2 linked regions of the Drosophila melanogaster genome follow. The protein of the gene in region 2 purifies or fractionates together with the protein of the main gene of each other region. This does not show direct contact. Each region holds a gene or a part of one and is shown on either strand. Other genes may lie near its edges.

Region 1 (13,546 bases), on a different chromosome or scaffold from region 2:
TGGGCAAAAAACTGATTTCGGGTGGATAGTTTCTGGATGTAAAAAATCCAAAGGAAAAGAAACCATTGTAGCCACAACAATAGAAATAAAAGAGTTAGATCGCTACTGGGAAGTGGAAGAAGAAGAAAAAGATGATATCGAGTCTGAAATCTGTGAAAATAAATTTATCAAAACGACAAAAAAAGATTCAGATGGGCGATACATTGTGTCAATTCCATTCAAGGAGGATGTCACCTTAGGAGATTCAAAGAAACAAGCGATAGCTCGTTACATGAATCTGGAGAAAAAACTAAAAAGAAATGAAAAACTTAAGGTTGACTACACTAAATTCATGAATGAATACATGGATTTAGGACACATGATTGAAGTGAGTGATGAAGGCAAATATTTTTTACCGCACCAGGCAGTGATTAGAGATTCAAGCCTTACGACCAAATTGAGAGTAGTTTTTGATGCTTCAGCAAAAACTACGAATAACAAAAGTTTGAACGACATAATGTGGGTTGGGCCACGAGTTCAAAAAGATATTTTTGACATTATTATTAAATGGAGAAAATGGGAATTTGTTGTTTCGGCAGACATTGAAAAGATGTACCGACAAATTAAAATAGATAATAATGATCAAAAATATCAATATATTTTATGGAGAAATTCTCCAAAAGAAAAAATTAAAACATATAAATTAACCACAGTCACTTACGGAACTGCATCTGCACCATATTTGGCTACCAGGGTTCTGGTAGATATTGCAGATAAATGTAAAAACCAAGTTATTAGTGCAATAATTAGGAATGATTTCTATATGGATGACCTAATGACTGGAGCTGATTCGGTAGAAGAAGCTAATAAATTAATAACATTAATTCCCCATGAATTGCAGAAAGTTGGATTCAACTTAAGGAAATGGATTTCCAACAATTCCAAAATATTAACCACTGTGGAGGACACAGGGGACAATAAGGTTCTCAATATTATCGAAAATGAATGTGTTAAAACTTTAGGACTAAAATGGGAACCTCAAAAGGATTTATTTAAGTTCAGCGTAAATTGTAATGATGAATCAAAAAATATAAATAAGCGCGTTGTGTTATCAACGCTAGCAAAAATATTTGATCCGTTAGGATGGTTGGCACCAGTCACGGTTTCAGGAAAACTTTTTATTCAAAAACTTTGGATAAATAAAAGTGAATGGGATCAGGAATTATCCATAGAAGATAAAAATTATTGGGAAAAATATAAAGAAAATTTATTATTGTTAGAGAATATTCGAATCCCAAGGTGGATTAATTCAAACAGTTCTTCAGTCATTCAGATTCACGGATTTGCGGACGCCTCCGAAAAAGCATATGCTGCAGTAGTCTATGCTAAAGTAGGACCTCATGTTAATATAATAGCTAGCAAAAGTAGAGTCAACCCTATAAAAAATAGGAAGACAATTCCCAAACTCGAGCTGTGTGCAGCTCACCTGCTTAGTGAATTAATCCAAAGACTAAAAGGATCAATTGACAATATAATGGAGATCTATGCTTGGAGTGATTCCACGATTACCTTAGCATGGATTAACAGTGGTCAAAGTAAGATCAAATTTATAAAAAGAAGAACGGATGACATTCGGAAATTAAAAAATACTGAATGGAATCATGTTAAGTCAGAGGATAATCCAGCAGATTTAGCATCCAGGGGAGTGGATTCTAACCAGTTGATCAACTGTGATTTTTGGTGGAAAGGTCCGAAATGGCTAGCAGACCCAAAAGAACTTTGGCCTCGGCAGCAGTCTGTAGAAGAACCTGTCTTAATAAATACGGTATTAAATGACAAAATAGATGATCCTATTTACGAATTAATAGAAAGGTATTCCAGTATAGAAAAACTTATACGTATAATAGCATACATAAATAGATTCGTGCAGATGAAAACAAGAAATAAAGCCTATTCATCAATTATTTCAGTAAAGGAGATAAGAATAGCGGAAACAGTTGTTATTAAGAAACAACAAGAATACCAGTTTAGGCAAGAGATAAAGTGCCTTAAAATCAAAAAGGAAATCAAGACAAATAATAAAATATTGTCATTGAATCCATTTTTGGACAAGGATGGGGTTCTAAGAGTTGGAGGAAGATTGCAAAATTCCAATGCAGAATTTAATGTTAAACATCCAATCATTTTAGAAAAATGCCACCTAACAAGCTTATTAATAAAAAATGCTCATAAGGAAACATTGCATGGAGGGATAAACCTAATGCGAAACTATATCCAAAGAAAGTATTGGATTTTCGGGTTGAAAAATTCGTTGAAAAAGTATTTAAGAGAATGTGTAACGTGTGCAAGGTATAAACAAAATACAGCTCAGCAAATAATGGGTAACTTGCCAAAATATAGAGTGACGATGACATTCCCGTTTCTTAATACTGGAATAGATTACGCAGGTCCTTATTATGTTAAATGTTCAAAAAATCGTGGCCAAAAAACATTTAAAGGATACGTTGCTGTATTCGTTTGCATGGCCACCAAAGCCATACACTTAGAAATGGTAAGCGATCTAACTTCAGACGCATTTTTAGCAGCACTCAGAAGATTTATTGCTAGACGGGGAAAATGTTCCAATATCTATTCAGACAACGGAACAAATTTTGTAGGAGCTGCAAGAAAATTAGATCAAGAGTTATTTAATGCAATACAAGAAAATATAACGATTGCAGCGCAGCTTGAAAAGGACAGGATTGATTGGCATTTTATTCCCCCGGCAGGACCTCACTTCGGAGGTATTTGGGAAGCTGGAGTTAAGTCAATGAAATACCATTTAAAGCGTATAATCGGCGACACTATTTTGACTTATGAAGAAATGTCAACTCTTTTATGTCAAATAGAAGCATGCTTAAATTCAAGGCCATTATACACTATAGTTAGTGAGAAGGACCAACAAGAAGTTTTAACACCAGGTCATTTTTTAATTGGAAGACCACCTTTAGAAATAGTCGAACCAATGGAAGATGAAAAAATCGGAAATTTGGATAGGTGGAGACTTATCCAAAAAATGAAGAAAGATTTCTGGGTTAAGTGGAAAAGTGAATATTTGCATACGCTCCAGCAAAGGAATAAATGGAAAAAGGAAATTCCTAATATAGAAGAAGGGCAAATAGTTTTATTAAAGGATGAGAATTGTCATCCTGCAAGATGGCCTTTAGGAAAGGTGGAAAAGGTGCATAAGGGGAATGATGATAAGGTCCGAGTGGCTAAAGTAAAGATGCAGGAAGGATATATCACTAGACCCATTACTAAAATTTGTCCCTTGGAAGGAATAAAGTCTGTTGACAAAAATGAGGCTGACCAAGAGCCAAAAAGACGAACTAGAGCGACATCGGGAATGTCCAAGATCGGAATCATTATGGCAATGTTGTTGTTTGTGTTAAGTTGTCAAGTTTCTAGCGCATTACCTAAAGATATAGCACCAAGATATTCTATAGACAAAATAAATAAAACCTCAGCAATATATCTAGACCCGCTAGGAGATGTTGAGATTGTGAGTACTTCTTGGAATTTGGTTATCTATTATAAAATGGATCCATATTTTAAAATGTTAACAAAGGGTAATGCGCTTATACAAAGTATGAGGAAAGTTTGCGAAAGACTTCATAGCTTTGAAGAGCAATGTAGTCTAGTCTTAGATAATATGCAAAGTCAGTTATCGGAACTTGAAGAAAACAATAAATTGTTTATGATGCAGTCTAGATCTAGAAGCAAGCGTGCTCCTTTCGAATTTATGGGTTCCTTGTATCATATTTTATTTGGTATAATGGATGAAGATGATAGAGAGCAATTAGAAGAAAATATGAAGAATTTGTTAGATAACCAGAACAACCTTGATAAACTAATTCAAAAACAAACATCTGTGGTTGATTCAACTTCTAATCTATTAAAGAGAACAACAGAAGATGTTAACTCCAATTTTAGAAGTATGCAAATAAGAATTGAGAACATGACAGAAGTTCTTAAAGAAAATTATTATGTTTATAAGGAATCAATAAAATTCTTTATGATTACGAAACAGCTACACTCATTGATTGAAGAAGGCGAAAAAATTCAAGCAGGCATTATAAGCCTGTTGATTGATATTAATCACGGTAGGCTAAATACAAATATTCTCAGGCCAAATCAGCTTAAAAAAGAAATTGCCAAAATTCAGCAGAGTCTTTCAGAGAACCTAGTAATTCCAGGAAAACGGTCAGGTACGGAACTTAAGGAGGTGTATACACTGTTAACAGCCAGGGGTTTATTCATCGACGATAAATTGATCATTAGTGCAAAAGTGCCTCTGTTTAGCAGGCATCCATCCAAATTGTTCAGGCTTATTCCGGTGCCAATTCGAAATGAAGATCGGATAATCAAAGGAAGTTGGCCCTGGAATTCAGCGAATGATAATGCATGTGAGATTCAGCCTCTAAAGCCAGATAAAGCGGCGAACTGCATCTATAAAACAGTAGTCGACTCTAAAAGTTACTGGGTAGAGTTAGAAAAGAAAAGTAGTTGGTTGTTTAAGGTTCCTGCGAATTCAAAAGTCCGTCTGCAATGTACTGGCTCTCAAATTGAATTGTTTGATTTGCCTCAGCAAGGAGTTTTAAGCATTGCGCCATATTGTACGGCAAGAACCGACGATAAAATTCTAGTTGCCCACCATAACATTCAGTCCGAAAGTGAAGAATTATTATCAACACCTTATATAGGAGAAGTTAGTGGAGTGCCGAAGATTATTTGGGATCCGCTGAAACTATCAATATTAAATCATACTGAGGAATTTGAACGATTGAATAATGAAATTAAATTTATGAAAGAGAACCATCAAAAATTGAAAGATTTACATTTCCATCATATTTCCGGACATGCTGGATTAATTATTGCTTTAATACTAATGATAGTATTAATAATATATTTCATACGGAAATGTGCTGTGCAACAAAGAATGCAAGCAATAACCTTTGCAGGTCCGTTGCCAGTACTATAAATATCAATAGTAAATAAACAATAAAATAATATAACAAATAAAAATATACAGTCCACTAATAGAAAATGTACTTCTACATAGAAAAAGCAAAATGTTTAAAATAAGTTAATTGAGTACAAATTGTTGAATTAAAAATAATATAAACCATAATTGTAATCCAATAAAATTAAAAGCCAGAAAAACTAGGCCCATTGAAATCTTAGTTGCAAAATAAATGAACATATATCAAATAAATACAGCCCACTACTGTTATAAATGCAACTAATATACTAATGTACATCTCAGCTTTGCTGGCCCTTTGGCAGAATGTTCACACATGAACACGAATATATTTAAAGACTTACAATTTTGGGCTCCGTTCATATCTTATGTAAATGAATCGAGAGCGATAAATTATATTTAGGATTTTGTTATCTAAGGCGACATGGGTGCATTGCTCAAAAACATGTAATTTAAGTGCACACTACATGAGTCAGTCACTTGAGATCGTTCCCCGCCTCCTAAAATAGTCCCTTAGTGGGAGACCACAGATAAGGTCCTCGCCGCTCAAGATAGGCAGATGTGCCCGAGCGTGGGACCTCGATAAGGCGGGGACTATTTACGTAGGCCTCTGCGTAGGCCATTTACTTTAAGATGCGATTCTCATGTCACCTATTTAAACCGAAGATATTTCCAAATAAAATCAGTTTCTTACAAAAACTCAACGAGTAAAGTCTTCTTATTTGGGATTTTACAGGTACTTATGCATGCCTCCTTTTGCAGGCCATTTAGGAATGGCCCATATATCTTTGGGCCACAGACAAATCGGCCATTAATATGCGCTAGGCAAAAAGCTGAGCTCAGGACATGGAACTCTAAAAATGTACACGACTGTAGGGCGCTTAAGAACAACAAACATGTTTATTTGGGTCATTATGTAAACAGGGCGAACAGAGGAAATTTTGACCCCAGACCAGTAGATATGATAAATGGTGGGTCTTTAAATCGTAAATAACGTATATAATTTTTTTTAGTTTGGTGGGCTTTTTTCAGGCATCTTAAGAACTTGGGGGAGAATTCACGAGAAATTCAATTTCGTCTGATGAAAAATGTCCTGATATCGGATTCCCAATAATTTCACAATGCAAATTTCTTGGTTTATGACTGAAATAAACCACACGGAATGCAATGAAACAAAATACATTGCTTTACGTAGGAGTTTTCATATTTTCCCCCACAAGTGCCGAAAAATATGCTACAAAATATGTAGGATTTGCCCAGCGGAAAAAGGTGAAAGAATCAGGCTCGTAACCAAAGTTTTTTACCGCCAACTGAAGCAAAGAAAACTCATATACAACATATATGGAACATATATACAACATATGAACGAAAGTCGTAAGCAGCGAGGCATAAATTGTCAGATTACCTTCACGTTCACTGCCTAAGCTTTATTTCACAAAATTACCCTATAAAGTCGAGCTTAAAGAGCAAAAAATATGTATATATTTTTAAATCAAAGGAAATTATCACAGGAAGTTAAAAACAAAACACGACACAATACTTGGAAAATATTTATTAAAGTTCGCCTTCCAGAAGCTCTTGCTACGTTTCGAATTCCTTTCTGCTTTCCTCATTTCTTTGCTTTCCGCTATTTAATTAATCAGCCAGGGTTCATTAACTTAAAATACTAATGAAAATTCTAAAGGGTATACTGTATATACATAGTTTACAGAAAAATTTCCCTTTATAAGCCCCATTACATTTTATATGTTCAGTTTTTTTTTCGAGTTACAACAATAACCAGCGAAGTACTTGCACTTTTAAGTGGAATGATTTAAAATGCACAATTCTGTAGCCGACTGTTTTTAATTAGTTTTAAATGGTTTTTAAAAATCGCAAAAAAATGCGCAGCGCTAAAAGCTTTTGACTACCATAGAGCCGAAACAAATTAACTGATTATACTCTCATAAATTTATTCGAAATAATTCAATTAATTTGCGTTCGCCTCGCACAAGCCGAAATTCCAATAAACGGTTGGATGGCGCAAACCTAAATTAAACTTAATTCGATGTTGCTGTGGGTATTTGAATTTCGAGCATCCTGTCGTCAACAGAAAGTGCCAGGAAAAAGGACCCGCAGCGCAAAAGAGGCAATCTCACACCTTCATAGTTCAGTTGGCAATGTTTGTCATTTGCGCCTCATTTAGTTTTTGCCACTTGTGGGTGGCTGGAGGCGATTTCCATGATGCCCAAATCAGATGACAAAGTTTAATCTATTAAGAGCCGGTGATTCGAGTCTTGAATTTCGATTTCGAAGTGGAAAATAAATCAATTTCACCGAGTGATGCTTTGTTTTTGTATTAAGTGCTTCGTTAAACTGAAAGAAAGTGTTGATTAAGTCCGTGTGATTCATAAGCTGTGTTGCACGCTATTGCTGCCTGAAAGTATTGGGAACTATTTTAAAAACTAAATCAAATCCTTATTTATTCCTTGTTTTTCCATTTGTTTTGTCGTACGTTTTCAACTTTTGGATGCGGTAAGAAAATATCTCAAAGGCAAAACTTAAATCTCTTTTGTGACCGTAATAAAATTTAGCAGGAAACAAAATGACCAACGTTATCCAGTGCCTAAAAACTAGTTTATTTCTGGCTGTAAAACGAGCTTATGGCTTTAAACTTTCTTTTCTGTCTAGAATAAAGTTTTTATGTTTCCACTGAAGCTTTTGGCTCTGCTCTGCGGAATGCCATAAAACCATATTAGTCAATAATTTTTAGTCACTTAATTTTTCCTGTAGGAAAATGTGAGTGGATGTGAGTGGAGGACAACATGTACATATGTGTAATCACAAGGCTCGTGTCAACACATTTTTCAAAAGGTATCTTAATGAACCGCCTTCTGTCTGATTGTACGAGTTGCTTTCGGCCCGGTGGTGGTGATGACAAAAATAGGCAAGGACCTGTGCAAATACAAATCTGCCATTTTGTTAATCGGGACACGCACAGCAGGCAAATCAAAATCGTAAAAATAAACCAAAAAAAACAAAGGCGCAATCCGAATCAAATGGGCTAAGGCACACCTGCGACACGCTGCCATCACTTTTGTTTGTTCTCTTCGGGATTGCGTGGGAACACTCAATTTTTGTCTTTCACGTGCGGAAAGTCGGATTTCCCGACGATTATGCGGCAATCTTCACATCGTGGACTCAAAATTGTCAGATAATCCATATTTGCGAGATTAGCCGAATTAATTATTAATTTGAAACTTTCTCACCTGCGGTAGAATATCGGAGGATAAATCCTTCTAAGTATTAGCTATTATCTTTCTGGAACGTGCTCCAAGTTTTGGATATGTTCCCAATTTCGATTGAATTCGTCCTTAAGAAAGCTTACAAATGAATTAGCCAGATTTTCACTCGAGTTAAATCACAAATTTAAGCACTACCATATGTATAAATCTATAGGAGTAAGACTCCGATGCGCCAAATCTTTTAGGTTACATTTCTTTTGGGTTCCGCGCAGATATTTTACGAACGAAATGGTTATAGCTTTTGAAAATATTGTTTTTTCCCTTAACGCTTCACGTATTTAGTGTAGCGCTGGAATTAACAAAAATTGCTGTTCACTCATTGCGAATCCACCATGTTGTAACAATGACCTTCGTTTTTCACAATCGTTTAGTGGCCAAAAATTATTTTATTGTTTCCAATTAGCTCGGCGCGAATGTGGTTCACTTCTAAAAATATATCAAACATTTTCAGTAGATATAATTTTTGCAAAAAGCTTCATGCTTCCATTGTAATAAATCGTATGTGTAAATAGGCATTTAAACAAAGGCTTATTTTAGCTTTTTATTTTGCAAGTGCATTTAATGATTTTTTTTAATTATATATAATTCGAGCGTAGCCGTTTTCCGTAAAATTTATTCGATTTAAGAAAGAGTTGTATACGTGGTTGTTCAATTATTTATCCTAAATAACACTATTTTCAATTAATTTTTGGTGCAAGAGAACGTATTTTTCAATCATGTTTAAGAAATAAATTTCGAAGTTGGGAGTGAATATTTTTTAAGTTCAAAGTAATATCAGAATAATGTCATAAAGTTACTATTTACGAATAAAGCGGCGCACATTATGGTTTTAAGTTAAAGCGTTTTTTGCAAATTGTTTTATATTTTTCGTTTCAATACGATTTTCGAGTAATCCGTCGGACGAAATGAACTGTTCAACAACTGGAAACATTTCACTTTTGAGATCCTCAATCTTGCGATAACTCGGTGCAGCTTTTCACAATTTATTAACTTGCACTGACAGTATCATAAATATTTCAGAAATTGCGCTTCTGTCGAATCCGAACATTCGGCGAACTTACACAACCACGAGCGGTTATTCCGCTTATTCAGTACGAAAACGAGTGAAAATATTATTCAAATATCACCCGGAGTTCTGGGTTCGAATTCCCGCTCGATTTTGGCATTTCGCGTCCGATTCGTTTGAGATGCCGCGACATTCTGACGGCTCGTTTCGCAAAAGCGGGCCAACACGAAAGGCGGCGTCCGAATCGGCGGCAGTCGACAGACAGCGACAGCGCCTGCTGGCTGGCCAAGTTAACAGAGCTGTTAGCCAAGTTGTGTTGTTGTGGCAGGCCTTTGCATTTCCACTTGTGCGTCACGTGCTCCTGGCTGTTGTTGTTGCATTGAACTTGAACTAGTGGCAAAGTTGTTGTCGTCGTTGTGGTTGCTATTGCACTTTTGCTGTTCTTCCGACATTTGCCGGCTGTTTTTGGCTGGCATTCGGCGCGTTTTCTCACCGCGCACGCGCTCTGAATTCGGAAGACCATATTTGTGTGATATTTGGTTTCAAATTTCATTTGATTGCCAGTCTGCAGTTGTTTTTCCTGCGAAGGGAAGTCAAAGTAAATTTATCATTAAACACGAATAGGAAATTATTTTAAGTTCCAATATAAACACAGCATATCCTGGGAACTATGCCTATAAATAGAATTCATTCATTCGCCCGCAAAAAATTATGACGCAAATTGGAGCCAATGAGGATCTTGGAATTAAGTGCTGTGAAACGCAATTAGAGTTAACGATTGTTTTGCCTTAGTAGATTTACCTTTATAATAAGCTATCCTTGAATATAGAGGATCCCAAAGTAATGACACTAACTATATATAGCAGTTAATAAAACAATTAAACAGCAAAAAAATAATAATATGCCAATTGTTCAGAAATTTCAACGGTTTTAGAAGTTCTGTTACCTTGATCCTTCGAACGGATAAGCATTATGCACGTGCCTCCTGCTGAATTCCAAATAGTATACAAATTTAACAAGGCGGGAAAACTTGCACCTTGTGCGCTGCGGAAAACTGCGAGAGTGACTGCTGTTTGAAAAGCTTTGTGTGCATTAGTCAGTTTCCCAACAAAAATCAATCTTAGAAGGCGTATCTGTTCGTGAACTCCCTTCGATGTCATCCAGCTTCTAAGGACGTTTGGCTAAGCTGCCAAGTCGGAATTCTTAAAGTTTGATTTCCTCGGAATTAGCTAGTGTAAGCTTGTACGAAAATATGATATTTTGGTATTTGGTATATCTCACCAAAGGACGCACAAATTCGAATGCAATTAGATTTTTCAACATTTTTCAGCTGGGTCGTGGATCTCCCCTTTTGGCTATGAAAATCTCCCTTGTTGGCCAAGCGAAAACCTTCGCCAAGTTCAAGTGGAAAAGTAGTCATAAGTCGGTGGTAGCCACATGGGTGCGGTCAGTACTTGGAAACTGAAAGAATTGAATTGTGGTCGGCGAGCTGTGCGCAAATAAATTAAGTATGTGTACTTTCAGCTTAGAGCTTGCCAAAGAATCGCTCAGAATGGAGTGGGCAAAGGCAAGATTAAAAGTCCCAACGACTTTGAATGTAAATTTAATTTGAGTCGCAGCATGATGTATGGCATAGCAATTTTAATCAATTGTCTCCAACTCGGCAAAGAGTCCAACAAACATCCCGTCACAATTCCATTGAAATTAATTGATTTTGGCTCAGCAGTAGGCAAACAAATACATATCACCAATGCGGTTGGCCAAGCAGATTAAACAGTGGCTCATAAGAGGCAATTAATTTTACAATCTAAGTAGTTGCCATTCAGATACACTAGGGTACAGGTCGTATACTTAACTACATTAAGCATACGTAACTATTGGTAGTATTCTTAAGTATTATTCCACATTCGTCTTCAAGCTATTTAGCTGTTATTGAATGAATTATGAATACCAACCTTAATCGTGTGGGAAAACAAGTGATTATAAACAGAATGGAAAGCTGCAGTCGAGTCCATCGATATAAGTATCTATTTTCAAATAAATATCACTAAAAATTCAATTTCGTAATCTAATAAAATGGTACACAGAAAGGAACAAAAAGCGTTAAAAAAAGGAGAAGTATATGTGAAGCCTTGGTGGCAATAAAATCCTAATAAATTATTTTGCCTCTTATTCTAAGGCCAAGGAAACTATTCTTTTGAAGCAATAAATTTAAGGCTACATATGTTGCATTCAAAGTGCCTGACAGTTCGTTTTGTTGTTTAGTAAATCAATAAGCAATATCTTACTTTATTCCTTAAAATGGATATTGGATTGCAAGTGGTTGGCCGATAACTATATTCAAATGTGTTTTTAAACTTTACTTGGTAGTTTATTAAAGGGGAATATAGTTTGAATAGACATGAGTTGTAGGAATACGTTACACAAAGGCTATTACACAGTTCGTTTTGTCCGTAATGAAATTATTCAGTGAAATCGTTAGGAAAATGTTGTTAACAGGAAACAGGCGGTTACTTATCATCTGGCCACTAATTAAAACAAGCCGCAGGCGGAAAGGCAAGTGCCCGGCTGATAGCGAATTCCAACTTTGGGGAGTTGGCCAACCTCTAATGAATAATGACGGCCCCAAGGGGCGTAAAAAGAAAAACGCCGTTCGAATGTCGGACAGCACTTTGCGCTTAGCGTGCGTGAGCAAATCAAACACGTCCTTGAAGGACGAATACGTGGCGGGTACTGGCTTAATGGAGGCTAATCGGGCCGTAACAAAATATCCACTGGCATCGACAATTATACAATCGATTCGATGCCACTCGCCAGTTGCGCTAGTTCTCAGTTATCCAGATGAAACTTTTTTCAGGTCTAGTCGGCAAAGTTTTCGCCAGAGCAGCAGGTCCATTCGTTGGTTAGATAGATGGATGGATGGATATTGACCCAGCCAACGTCCTTTCGCTTTGCATACTTTGCGCCGCAGTGCCAACGCAATTTGTTCCAATGTCGTGTGTCACGTTTGCTTTCATTCTGGCATGGCTTTGGCTCCTTGGCTTTTGTTTGGCATTTTGCTGTTTGCGCTTGTGCCATTTTACCCCTCCCCCCCCACCAACCAACTGCAGTTAGTTCACCATTCCACTTTCCGCGTCCACCTTCCCTGCATTTTATACGTTCATTGGCTTTGATGTTGTAGCTGGAAGGACTAATGAACCCTTTGGCGAACGGCGTTGCCGGCAAAGGCCCATAAAGCTCAAGCGAACACCACTAACATTGAGATAGATAACACGAACACTGGCCATACATGGATTTTATAGTTCCTTTGTTCCATGCTCCTGCACATAAGACATTTTTCCGTCTGAATCTGAAGCAGAGGGCAGGCTAAAAGGAAAGTTATAATTCTGGGATGGCAATGTTTATGCTTTTTGAGGCTTTGAAAGATTTTGCCCTTCTGGTTTCAATTCGGGTTTGTAGATTTCCATGCCAAGCACCATAGTTGCATTAAAAGTTTGTTTTTTTCACATTTAGTCAGTTTGTAGTGGCAAAAATTGAGCTTTCGTGTCAGTCAGAATCGTTCTTTGGCAGTTTAATTGGAGCTTGAACCACATGGAATTTGGTGTTCAACTGGACGCAAAATAGAAAACACGCCAACTTCATGAATAACTAATAAAGTGTAGAACTGGACAAATGTAAGCAAATACAATGTTCATAGTATACCATTAGATTTTTATAATGTTTCCATGGCACAGTTTGTGTTAACATCGAACACAATACATTTTAAGAGTTAGAATACTTTTATACACATTTTTATTGTAACCTGATATTTGTTTTGCCCTTTAAAGAAGTATTGAATTTCTGCATCAATTTGTAGGCACAAACAACAAGCATTACTGAATTTATATTAAATAATGCCCAATATTTACCTCTGGCACAGCATTTATAATTCAATTAGTTTGATGATTCACCTGGAGTGGCGAAAGGACAAAGGACGAGCTGCGTCTCAAAAGCCAGCGGAAGTTATATTTACCGCAAACGGTGGCCGTTTCTCGGTTACAGGTGGGCGTGGAGGTCACCCCTTTCGTCACCGTTATTGGCAAAAGCCCGGAGCACGTTTCGTGTCAATAACTTACAATTAGCTTGAAGTGCCCGGGCTGAGGGCGGTGGTTGTGGGGGCGTGGCCATTCATCCACTTGGGCCATAAGTAATAGATAATAATGACACGACCACGTCAAAAGTAGATGGTATTGGGGTTCATTGGCCCTCCCATCCTAA
Region 2 (11,632 bases):
AATTTTCTTCCAGTGTAAGCACTTGATCCGACTCTGATTGCAACACCAATCGGCTGTCCCAGCTGTGCCACCACTCAGCTCCACAGCTGCACTGACGACGATCCAATCCGATGGGTGCGAAGATCATCTGCGTGGCTCGTGGAAGATGCCAGGTGAGCCGGGAGTTCGCCTTGAACCATTGACATTACTTGAGGCGCATTTTATTTACGCCCAGCATGATTAACTGATTAACTGACTGACTGACTAATTGACTAACTAACTGACTAACTGACTGACTGCCTGGCTGTTGGCCAGTTGGCTACTTGGCTACTTGTCCACTGGCCATTGCATAATGCATCATGCTAATAGGGAGCGGCACCGGGGGATCGAAGATCGAAGGCGCGACTTCCTGTAGACTTCGGTAGCGCCGGCAATTGTTACAATGATTTACGACCATGCCACGTTGGCAGCTATAAATTGCTAAATGGCCATTACAGCATTAATTACACGACCGACCAAGAGTTGTGAGTCGAATCGAAATTGAAATTGACCTTTTGCCCCGCCCAGACTGCCGGTCTGCAGAATGAGTTATTATCTTGTAATTGTCACTTACCAGCGGTGTGCAGATATGTTTCTTCGATCTCGATCTGGATCGGAGTATGCAAATTGGAAGCCAGAACCACTCGATGTCCATGTAACCAGCGATGTCGGTTGGAATTAAATTACATTGCTGTCGACATGACAAAGTGTGCGAATACTTAACTAACGAAACAAAGGAAATCCACCAACTGGTTACAATACATAACGAAAGGAATCATTAATGTGATTTATGAACATGTTGCCTCATTGAATCAGAGAAAAATAGAAATTATCATCGCAGTTTTATCTAAACTATTATTAAATGCAGACAGGCCATAAACCATCCGTTTGTTGAGTGTCTCTGGGGAATTCCTATTACTCAACCTTAAGAATCATCAAAATATAGAGGAAATTGTTTACAATCATTTCGTTTCCGATCTTGCAAGTCATAAACATCAAATTAATACAATAATGCATTTAACAAAAATCGTATGAAATAAATCGAACAATTTTTGCTATATAATCCCAATATATCGATTGTTATAGAAAATATCCCTTTTTTTTCGGTCCAAGCTGTCATATTTTTTGACCACTTTCAACACTTAGTTTGTGGCCAAGTCAGTTTTGGCAGGTGGAAAATAGTTGGCACTCGACTTGGCTGGAAACACACCCCGTTGTGAGTCGGCAACCACCACCATGAGCGCCAGCGAAGGCATCAGTCTCCCGGGCAACGAGGAAACCACTCCGCCGCATGAAAAACATAAACAAAAGGCCAAGAAGGCCAAAAAGAAGTCCCGGAGTGCCAAAGAAAGTGTTCCCAATGCAATGGACGCGAAAGCCACTGCCAGCTACTTTAGTTTGAGCATCGTGGGCCAAATAGTCTCGGCCACCTTTCCCCTGGGTCCCGACAAGGAGTTCGTCTTCCTGCGCTACGAAATGGTCGCTGGTCCCGACTGGCAGCTGTCCTCCGGACCCCAGCACGGACTCACCCAGCTGGCCACCAATAGAAGGGGCCATTTCAACGAACCGATTGTCTTCAATATGCCCATCGAGGTGACCTACAAGAGCACCAGTCCATATGGCTGTGAGTAATAGTACAGAATCGATTAGTTTACTATATTCTTTCTCAGCTCAGCTATTAACAATTTTTCGAATCAGATTGAAGTTACACCAACAAGATCTCCAATTCTTTTGGTTTCCAGGGCCACAGATCCTGGTGACCGTGTTCGGACGCAGTGGCCTGGGCAGGGAGACACTACTCGGTTACGCTCACATCCACCTGCCCGTTTTCGGCAGTCGTCGTCCAGCGGATCAGACGGAGCAGCTGCAGGCGCCCATCCTGATGCCCAAGTGCCCCAACATGATGGCGGACATCACCAGTTGGCTGCTGCGCCGCGAGCCGGAGCTGAAGGACCCCAAAGTGCTGCTGGACAACCTGAAGTGCAAGGGACTCTCTATGGAGTCGTACGGCAGCCTACAGTTTCAGCTGTCCTCCGTGATGAGGGGCGCCCGCAAGCTGGGCTACCATTGGCACTCCTGAGAGAGAGAGTCGAGTCCAGAGTGTGTTAGTAAAACGTGAACTTGAGGAAGCAGGAAAGCGTTTGTCTTAATCTAATTGCCGGGTGGGTGGTACCTCAAACTTGACCTTGTCCGTTGTGGCGGCTAAGACGATTTCAAAATGACGCGACTGCTGCTAATCCAACGCAGCAAACGAGCGGCAATCGAAAGCCCAATTCGAACGGTTAGCTTTGGATTGGCCAAGTGCCGGCTAATTGGATTAGGGCAATTAGTCTAAGACGCGTTGTACACAAGTGGCCATATAAAGACCAGACGACCATGGTCCGCCCCAGGCATTGCCGCCGAGTTCGCGTCCCGAGAGTCAGCCGTCCTGCTATGGACAGCGAGTAGTCGCCGCAGCAGAGTAGCCAGCCATCCAAGTTTAGACGAAGCCACCACCGAAGCGCCACCAGTACCAGCCATTCGAAATGGCCAGCCTGCATCCCCCGAGCTTCGCCTATATGCGCGATGGGCGCAATCTCAGCCTGGCGGAGAGTGTGCCCGCCGAGATTATGCACATGGTGGATCCGTACTGGTACCAGTGGCCTCCATTGGAGCCCATGTGGTTCGGCATCATTGGCTTTGTGATTGCCATTCTGGGCACCATGTCGCTGGCGGGCAACTTCATTGTGATGTACATCTTTACCTCGTCGAAGGGACTGCGCACGCCGTCCAACATGTTTGTGGTCAATCTGGCCTTCTCCGACTTCATGATGATGTTCACCATGTTCCCGCCGGTGGTGCTGAATGGCTTCTATGGCACCTGGATCATGGGTCCCTTCCTGTGCGAATTATACGGCATGTTTGGCTCGCTCTTCGGATGCGTTTCCATCTGGTCGATGACACTGATTGCCTACGATCGTTACTGTGTGATCGTGAAGGGAATGGCCAGGAAACCACTGACGGCCACGGCGGCTGTGCTCCGGCTCATGGTCGTGTGGACCATCTGCGGAGCGTGGGCCCTGATGCCGCTCTTCGGCTGGAATCGGTATGTGCCCGAGGGCAACATGACCGCCTGCGGCACTGACTACTTTGCCAAGGACTGGTGGAACAGGTCCTACATCATCGTCTACTCCCTGTGGGTCTATCTCACGCCGCTGCTGACCATCATCTTCTAATATGACATTCGTTACTAATTATCCAAGGATTCTGTTTGATTAAGGATTGATTTTGGCCTTTCAGGCTGTGGCTGCCCATGAGAAGGCCATGCGGGAGCAGGCGAAGAAGATGAACGTGGCCTCCTTGCGGAACAGCGAGGCCGACAAGAGCAAGGCCATCGAGATCAAGCTGGCGAAAGTGGCACTGACCACCATATCGCTGTGGTTCTTCGCCTGGACTCCGTATACCATCATCAACTACGCGGGCATCTTCGAATCGATGCACCTGAGTCCACTGAGCACCATCTGTGGATCCGTCTTTGCCAAAGCCAATGCCGTGTGCAATCCCATTGTGTACGGATTGAGGTAATATCTAATTAGCTTCCTACTTATCTATCTATATGACCAATTTCTTAATGCATCTCCTGCAACAGCCACCCGAAGTACAAGCAGGTGCTACGGGAGAAGATGCCATGCCTGGCCTGCGGCAAGGACGATCTCACCTCGGACTCGAGGACACAGGCCACCGCCGAGATTAGCGAATCGCAGGCTTAGGCGATTCGAAGACGACGACGACTGCAGACGTAGGGAACTGACAGCTCTAGATCTACAAAAGACTCAACTATTTTGCAAATGGCACCTCAAGGAAAAACCCAAAAAAAAAAAAAGATGGCAATGTAAAAAAAATGTAAAAAAAAAATATAGTAAAAATATAACAGCAATTGATACAAAATCAAATCCACCCAGTTTATCAACTAGTCAAGTGTGCTTTAATCAAGCACAGTGCCCCAAAGAAGTTTGTGCCTTTATTGGTAAGTAACATTTCAAGCATTTCAACCATTTGCCATAGCCATTGGATCACATAGTTCGTTAATCGAAGTCGTTGCCAGTTTTGGTGTCAGTCCAAGTTGGTTCATCTGGGGATATCCTTAGGGGTAGTAGGTGTTCAGGCCGAGGTCCATCAATGTGCCATTGTGGCGCCTTTCTCGCAACTCCTGGGTGAAGAGGGCACGCCCCTGCAGCAGTATGAAGTCGATGAGCCTCCTGTTCGAGCTCTGACGCAGTGCATCGGGGTCGGATCGCTTGCGAAGGTAGTTAAAGCAGCATGTGCTGGAGTAGTAAAATGTATATCACTTGGCGAACTCTTTGAATATGTTAGCTTACCGAAAGTGCTTTGTGCCACATGCGCTGGCACACTCCTTGCCACAAGTGTCGCATTTTATGGCCTGCGAACTGGGGGGGCACATCAACCAAATGCCTTGATAAGCCAAAGATTTAGTTACAAAACCTAAACAATGATTGCTCTTAGTTGAAACTCACATAGCAAGATGATCTGGAAGTGAGCCAGCCAATGCATCGTTGTCTTAGTCATTGGTCGGCCGTCTGCTCAGAATGCTGTGCCACTCATATGATCTTCGCTTGGTGTCCTGTTTCGTATCCCTGAGAAAGCGCAAATGAAAGGACCGAGTTGCCGGCTCCTGACTTTATATACTCATCGGCTGCAGGACAGTTGCCCACTTTGAGATGCTGGCATTCAAAGTGGTCAATGAAGCGTGTGGCGGATGAATAGCCAGGACGAGGACTCCAGTGGGCATGTGAACATGGAGCGCATATTAAGTAAGAGCACACAGACAATTGCAGCTTGCGCAACAAGTTTATGGGTTTATTTTGGGGTTGTTTGGGGCGGGGGTCGTTTGGCAGCCGCAAATCAAAGCAGCTGGACGCAGGTTGTAAAACTTCTTAATCTAGTTGGCAAGTGGCAAGTTAAGCATATTAAAATTGTGAGCAACAGTCATCAACAGTCAGTGGCAGGACTACTGATTTCCCTAGAATGAATACGGACGATATTGGGTGTTGTTACATAGTTTGTGCGCTAGTCAGAGTAATAATTTTTCTTATTTTATCCTAATTTTTAAGTATTTAGTCATTGCACTTAATTTTAATGCCGCAGGCGTATTTGTAACGGTCTTCTATTTGAATTTAAACTTACGATATTCGACATTCAACATATTTTCCAAAGTGTGGCAACACCAGCAAGTTTCCTTCATCAGTGTGACCGCTTTTAGTATTTTTCAGTATTTTCGGTGGAAGAAGAAGCCTGCCCACTCTGCGCTTTGGGAATTGAATAAACGTAAACATTAACTTAACTCCAGCTCTAGTCATAAATATCTATTGAATATGTGGGAGCCGCCACGATTGAGTGCATCTCTGCGCGCCAAGACGGAGCTGGAGGCCCGTAGCCGGCGCTTGAACGTCCTGCGGCAGGCGAGAACCACCTCTGCTGCTTCCACGACGACGAACAGCCAAAAGTGAGTAGCGATTTCACCACCTGTGAAATTTCGTTCAATTCCGCTCCTCTCCAGCAAGGAGGAGCAGACCATCGCACGGCTGCTGGCTCAGATGCCAACCGAAAAGCAGCCGGCCGCTAAGGTGCAGCTACAGAAGCTGCGCAATCTGGTGCAGGAGTGTATGGGCTACGAGGAGCAGCCACAGGTGGTGGAGCACGCGGCGCTCTTCCTCTTCTGGCTGCTGCTGGATCAGCGGGTGCTCCTGGTGGCCACCACACAGCGGCTACACGGCATGTTCGGACAGACTTTCGATCGCAAGAAGACCCAAATTCACGACTGCGTCCAGGCCATCGGCGATCTGCTGGAGGATCACGAAAGATCCGCGCTCAAGCGGTGGCGACAGACGCATCACAAGGTGCCTGGAGTGGGTCCACTATGGGGCGCCCATATACATGTCAAGTGCACGCCCTCCGAGTGGATGGACATCAGCCTGCTGACTGATCTAGCGCCGGATGCGCTACTCAAAAACCGAACTGTCAACAAGTTCTCTATGAAGCACACAACCAAGGCCGCCCCAGTGGCGTCCACGAGCTCGGAAGCCGCCAAGTTGAGTCCAGAACTGCAGACTCTGCTTGAAATCTCCGCAAAGCTGGACGACGAGCACCTAATAATTCGCGTCGGCGACATTCTCGGTTCCCAGCGCAGCAGCGAGGTGTTGCAAAATGAACTTATGGAAATCCTAGGATTTGATTACTTTGAATTAGTAGAAAAACTGCTCATGGAACGGGACAAGATCGCTCGCCAATTAGATCAGTTCGCCACACGATCCCGCCGCGTCATGGAGGTGAAACAGAAGCGCATGGAGGCGGCTGCCAGTGGTGGAGCTGCAGAGCGGCGTCCCACCGTCGCCAGCGCCGTCGTAGTTCAGTCGGCCCAGGAGAAGCAGCTGAGCAAAATGCAGCGGCGGGAGGAGAAGAAACTGCAACGCATTATGCGAAGCATTAAGGACGAAGAGGCCGAGGATGATCCGAATTGTGCGGTTGCCGTTTCCGTTCAACAATTGCGCATGCAGCACCAGCGAAAGCTCTTGGAGGCAGCGCAGCGGGAGCCTCTGTTGCTCAGCACTAAGGCGGCGAAGGCGGAATACAAACAATCCTCGTACAACCAGCCCATCCACTATCCCTATGTGTTCGACAGCCAGCTGCTGGCGAAACAGCACGCTGGCTTTATAGGTGGCAGCAGAATCACTCTGCCCGATAACGCACAGCGCATAGATAACAAACAGTGGGAGGAGGTCAAGATCCCAGCGAGTGAGCCACCTCCGCTCTCTGTTGGCAACAAGCGCGTTCAAATCGAAGAATTGGACGACGTGGGTAGACTGGCCTTTGCCAACTGCAAGGAGCTGAATCGCATCCAGTCAGTGGTCTTTCCGGTTGCCTATCACAGCAATGAAAATATGCTGGTTTGCGCGCCCACGGGAGCCGGAAAGACGAACGTGGCAATGCTTTCCATTGTGCACACCATCCGTTGCCACCTGGAACAGGGAGTCATTAACCGGGACGAATTCAAGATCGTCTACATTGCGCCCATGAAGGCATTGGCCGCGGAAATGGTTGATAACTTTTCGAAGCGCCTGAAATCTTTACAAATCGCTGTGCGTGAACTGACGGGTGATATACAGCTGACCAAGGCGGAAATGGCTGCCACCCAGATACTAGTCACCACGCCGGAGAAATGGGATGTGGTAACCAGAAAGGGTAATAATAATATTCTATTTTTTTTTTTGCAATATATGCTAACAATATTACTTTCCAGGCAGCGGCGACGTGGCTTTGATAAGCCTGGTAGAGCTACTCATCATTGATGAAGTGCATCTTTTGCACGGTGAGCGAGGTCCCGTTGTGGAGGCATTGGTGGCTCGAACCCTCCGCCTTGTTGAGTCCTCGCAATCAATGATTCGCATCGTTGGCCTATCCGCAACCCTTCCAAACTACATCGATGTGGCTCACTTCCTGCGGGTGAATCCTATGAAGGGCCTATTTTATTTCGACTCGCGCTTCCGTCCTGTTCCACTGGACACCAATTTTGTGGGCATCAAGTCGGTGAAGCAGCTGCAGCAGATCGCTGATATGGACCAGTGCTGTTACCAAAAGTGCGTTGAGATGGTACAGGAAGGTCATCAGATTATGGTCTTTGTCCACGCCCGGAACGCCACGGTGCGAACGGCAAATGTGATTCGCGAACTGGCCCAGCAGAACAATACCAGTGCCCTGTTTCTTCCCAAGGATTCCGCTGCTCACGGACTTGCAACGCGTTCGATACAGAGAAGTCGGAACAAGCAACTGGTGGAGCTATTCTCTTGCGGCTTGGCCATGCACCATGCGGGTATGCTACGCGCCGATCGTCAGATGGTTGAGAAGTACTTTGTCGAAGGTCACATCTCGGTGCTGGTCTGCACGGCCACGCTTGCCTGGGGTGTCAATCTGCCGGCTCACGCTGTCATTATCCGAGGCACAGATATATACGATGCCAAGCATGGTAGCTTTGTGGACCTGGGCATACTCGATGTGCTGCAGATCTTTGGACGCGCCGGTCGGCCACAGTTCGACAAGAGTGGAGTGGGTACCATCATCACCAGCTATGATAAGCTGAATCACTACCTGTCGCTGCTGACCAATCAATTCCCCATCGAGTCCAACTTCGTCAATTGTCTGGCCGACAATCTGAATGCGGAAATTGGTCTTGGCACAATTACCAATGTGGACGAAGCTATCGAGTGGCTCAGTTACACGTAAGTTGATACAGAACTTCATTAGATGGATCATTTGTTAATATTCTTCATTTTATAAAGGTACTTGTTTGTGCGCATGAGAATAAATCCTCACGTGTACGGTATCGAGTATTCGGAGCTGGAGAAGGATCCCACGCTGGAAGCCCGCCGCCGTGCTCTTATCATGTCCGCAGCGATGAGTCTGGACAAGGCTCGAATGATGCGGTTTAACCAGCGCACCATGGACATGAACATCACGGACTTAGGTCGCACTGCATCTTATTTCTACATTAAGTACGACACTGTGGAAACTTTTAACGAGCTGATGAAGCCATTTATGACCCAGGCTGAGATTTTGGCCATGATTTCCCAGGCGCAGGAGTTTCAGCAACTCAAGGTACGCGATGACGAGATGGAGGAATTGGACGAACTGAAAAACGCCTATTGTAAGATAAAGCCATACGGAGGAAGTGAGAATGTACACGGCAAGGTAACAATTGATCTTTTGCAATGCTTTTGCCAAGCTTAATTTGGTTTTGATTTGCTAGGTGAACATTCTGATTCAGACATATCTTTCCAATGGTTACGTGAAGTCCTTTTCACTGAGCTCCGACATGTCATATATTACCACGAATATAGGAAGGATAAGCAGAGCGCTATTCTCCATTGTACTGCGCCAGAATAATGCAGTACTGTCGGGAAACATGCTGCAGCTTTGCAAGATGTTTGAACGTCGCCAATGGGACTTTGATTGCCACCTAAAACAGTTCCCAACCATTAACGCTGAGACCATCGACAAACTTGAACGACGCGGTCTGAGTGTCTATAGGCTGAGGGATATGGAGCATCGCGAGCTAAAGGAGTGGCTTCGCAGCAATACCTACGCAGACCTGGTTATCCGGTCGGCGCACGAACTACCCTTGTTGGAAGTGGAAGCAAGTCTGCAGCCAATTACTCGAACGGTGCTGCGAATCAAGGTGGACATTTGGCCCAGTTTCACATGGAACGACCGGGTTCATGGAAAGACGTGCCAAAGCTTCTGGCTGTGGATTGAAGATCCGGAGTCGAACTACATTTACCACTCGGAGCTGTTTCAGGTCACCCGGAAGTTGGTGATGAGTGGCCAGTCGCAGCAGCTGGTAATGACCATTCCTCTGAAGGAGCCACTGCCGCCACAATACTACATACGAGTGAGCAGCGATAACTGGCTGGGAAGTACTACATGCATTCCATTATCATTTCAACATCTTGTGCTGCCGGAACACCACCCGCCACTAACGGAGCTTCTGCCCCTCCGCCCACTCCCAGTCAGCTGCCTCAAGAACGTTGTCTACGAATCCCTCTACAAATTCACGCACTTTAATCCCATTCAGACGCAGATCTTTCACTGCCTGTACCACACCGACAACAATGTGCTCTTAGGCGCTCCCACTGGCAGTGGTAAGACCATTGTGGCGGAGATAGCCATCTTCAGGGCACTCAACCAGAATCCCAAGTGCAAAGTGGTGTATATAGCTCCACTTAAAGCGTTGGTGAAGGAACGCATAGCGGATTGGGAGCAACGCTTCCAGCGCTCCTCTCTGGGTCTCAAGGTTGTTGAGCTAACGGGCGACGTTACTCCCGACATTCAGGCCATCCGAGAGTCTCAACTAATCGTTACCACGCCGGAGAAGTGGGACGGCATCAGTCGGTCTTGGCAGACCCGCGAATACGTACAGCACGTGTCGCTAATCGTCATCGATGAGATCCACCTGCTGGGAGAGGATCGAGGACCGGTCATCGAGGTGATTGTATCGCGAACCAATTTTATCAGTTCCCATACCGGTCGGGCTATCCGAATCGTGGGATTGTCCACGGCACTGGCTAACGCTCAGGATCTGGCCAACTGGCTGGGAATCAATAAGATGGGACTGTACAACTTCAAGCCCTCGGTGCGTCCAGTGCCTCTCCAGGTGCACATCAATGGCTTCCCTGGAAAGCACTACTGTCCTCGCATGGCAACAATGAACCGGCCCACGTTTCAGGCTATTCGCACCTACTCCCCCTGTGAGCCCACCATCGTCTTTGTGTCCTCGCGTCGGCAGACGCGTCTCACGGCGCTGGACCTGATTACCTTTGTGGCCGGCGAATCCAATCCCAAGCAGTTCCTGCACATACCCGAAGACGAAATCGAGCTGATCTTGCAGAATATTCGTGAACAGAACCTTAAATTCTGCTTAGCTTTCGGAATTGGTCTACATCACGCCGGTTTGCAGGAACAGGATCGAAAGTGTGTTGAGGAGCTGTTCCTCAATAGGAAGATCCAGATCCTGGTGGCCACAGCCACACTGGCGTGGGGCGTTAATTTGCCAGCTCATCTGGTGGTGATCAAAGGTACCGAATACTTTGACGGGAAGGTGAAGAAGTACGTGGACATGCCCATTACCGACGTGCTTCAAATGATGGGACGAGCCGGACGGCCGCAGTTCGACAATGAAGGTGTGGCCGTCGTTCTGGTGCACGACGAAAAGAAGAATTTCTACAAAAAGTTTCTGTACGATCCATTCCCGGTAGAGTCCAGTCTGCTGGGAGTGCTACCGGAGCACATAAACGCTGAAATCGTTGCTGGAACTGTTCAGTCAAAGCAGGCCGCTCTGGATTATCTTACGTGGACGTACTTCTTCAGGAGATTGCTCCGAAACCCGTCGTATTACCAACTGCAGGACATAGAACCGGAGAATGTAAATAACTTTATGTCCAATCTGGTTGAGCGCGTGGTCTATGAGCTTTCTGCCGCTGCCTGTCTGGTGGAGCGCGATGGATGTCTGATACCAACATTCTTGGGGCGAATCAGTTCCTATTACTACCTGTCGTACCGCACAATGAAGCATTTCCTGGAGGATTTGCAGCCTGGCATGAACACCAAGAAAGTTCTCCTCGCCATAGCCGATTCCTATGAATTTGATCAGCTGCCTGTTCGGCACAACGAGGATAAGCACAATGAGGAAATGGCTGAAGTAAGCCGCTTTAGACCGCCCTCATCGTCTTGGGATTCTTCGTACACCAAGACTTTCCTGCTACTCCAGGCCCACTTTGCACGGCAGTCCCTTCCGAATTCGGATTACCTAACAGACACAAAGTCGGCTCTGGACAACGCCACTCGAGTGATGCAAGCCATGGTGGACTACACAGCGGAGCGGGGATGGCTCTCGACGACTCTGGTTGTGCAGCAACTGATGCAGAGCGTCATTCAGGCCCGATGGTTCGACGGTAGTGAGTTCCTAACGTTGCCAGGAGTGAACGAGGACAATCTCGATGCCTTTTTGAACATACCACACGATGACTATGACTACTTAACACTACCCGTGCTGAAGGAGCTGTGC

The links.
Region 1: the proteins of Trissin (region 2) and TrissinR fractionate together in Drosophila melanogaster (co-fractionation; one study listed by BioGRID). This does not show direct contact.

The regions. Positions count from the first base shown.
Region 1 is NT_033779.5:5,819,951-5,833,496, reverse strand, and holds the start of TrissinR (trissin receptor), read right to left. Parts: upstream 8,704-13,546; 5' UTR 8,248-8,703; intron 1-8,247. UniProt on the Drosophila melanogaster protein: G-protein coupled receptor which is activated by the Trissin peptide in vitro, leading to increased intracellular calcium ion levels.
Region 2 is NT_033777.3:15,480,753-15,492,384, forward strand, and holds Trissin (trissin), read right to left. Parts: upstream 4,645-11,632; 5' UTR 4,585-4,644; coding exon 4,533-4,584; intron 4,471-4,532; coding exon 4,377-4,470; intron 4,323-4,376; coding exon 4,142-4,322; 3' UTR 3,978-4,141; downstream 1-3,977. Other genes in the region: B9d1, read left to right, coding at 1,255-1,642, 1,761-2,098; obe (obelus), read left to right, coding at 5,391-5,521, 5,576-7,257, 7,316-8,291, 8,352-8,760, 8,819-11,632. UniProt on the Drosophila melanogaster protein: Activates the G-protein coupled receptor TrissinR in vitro, leading to increased intracellular calcium ion levels.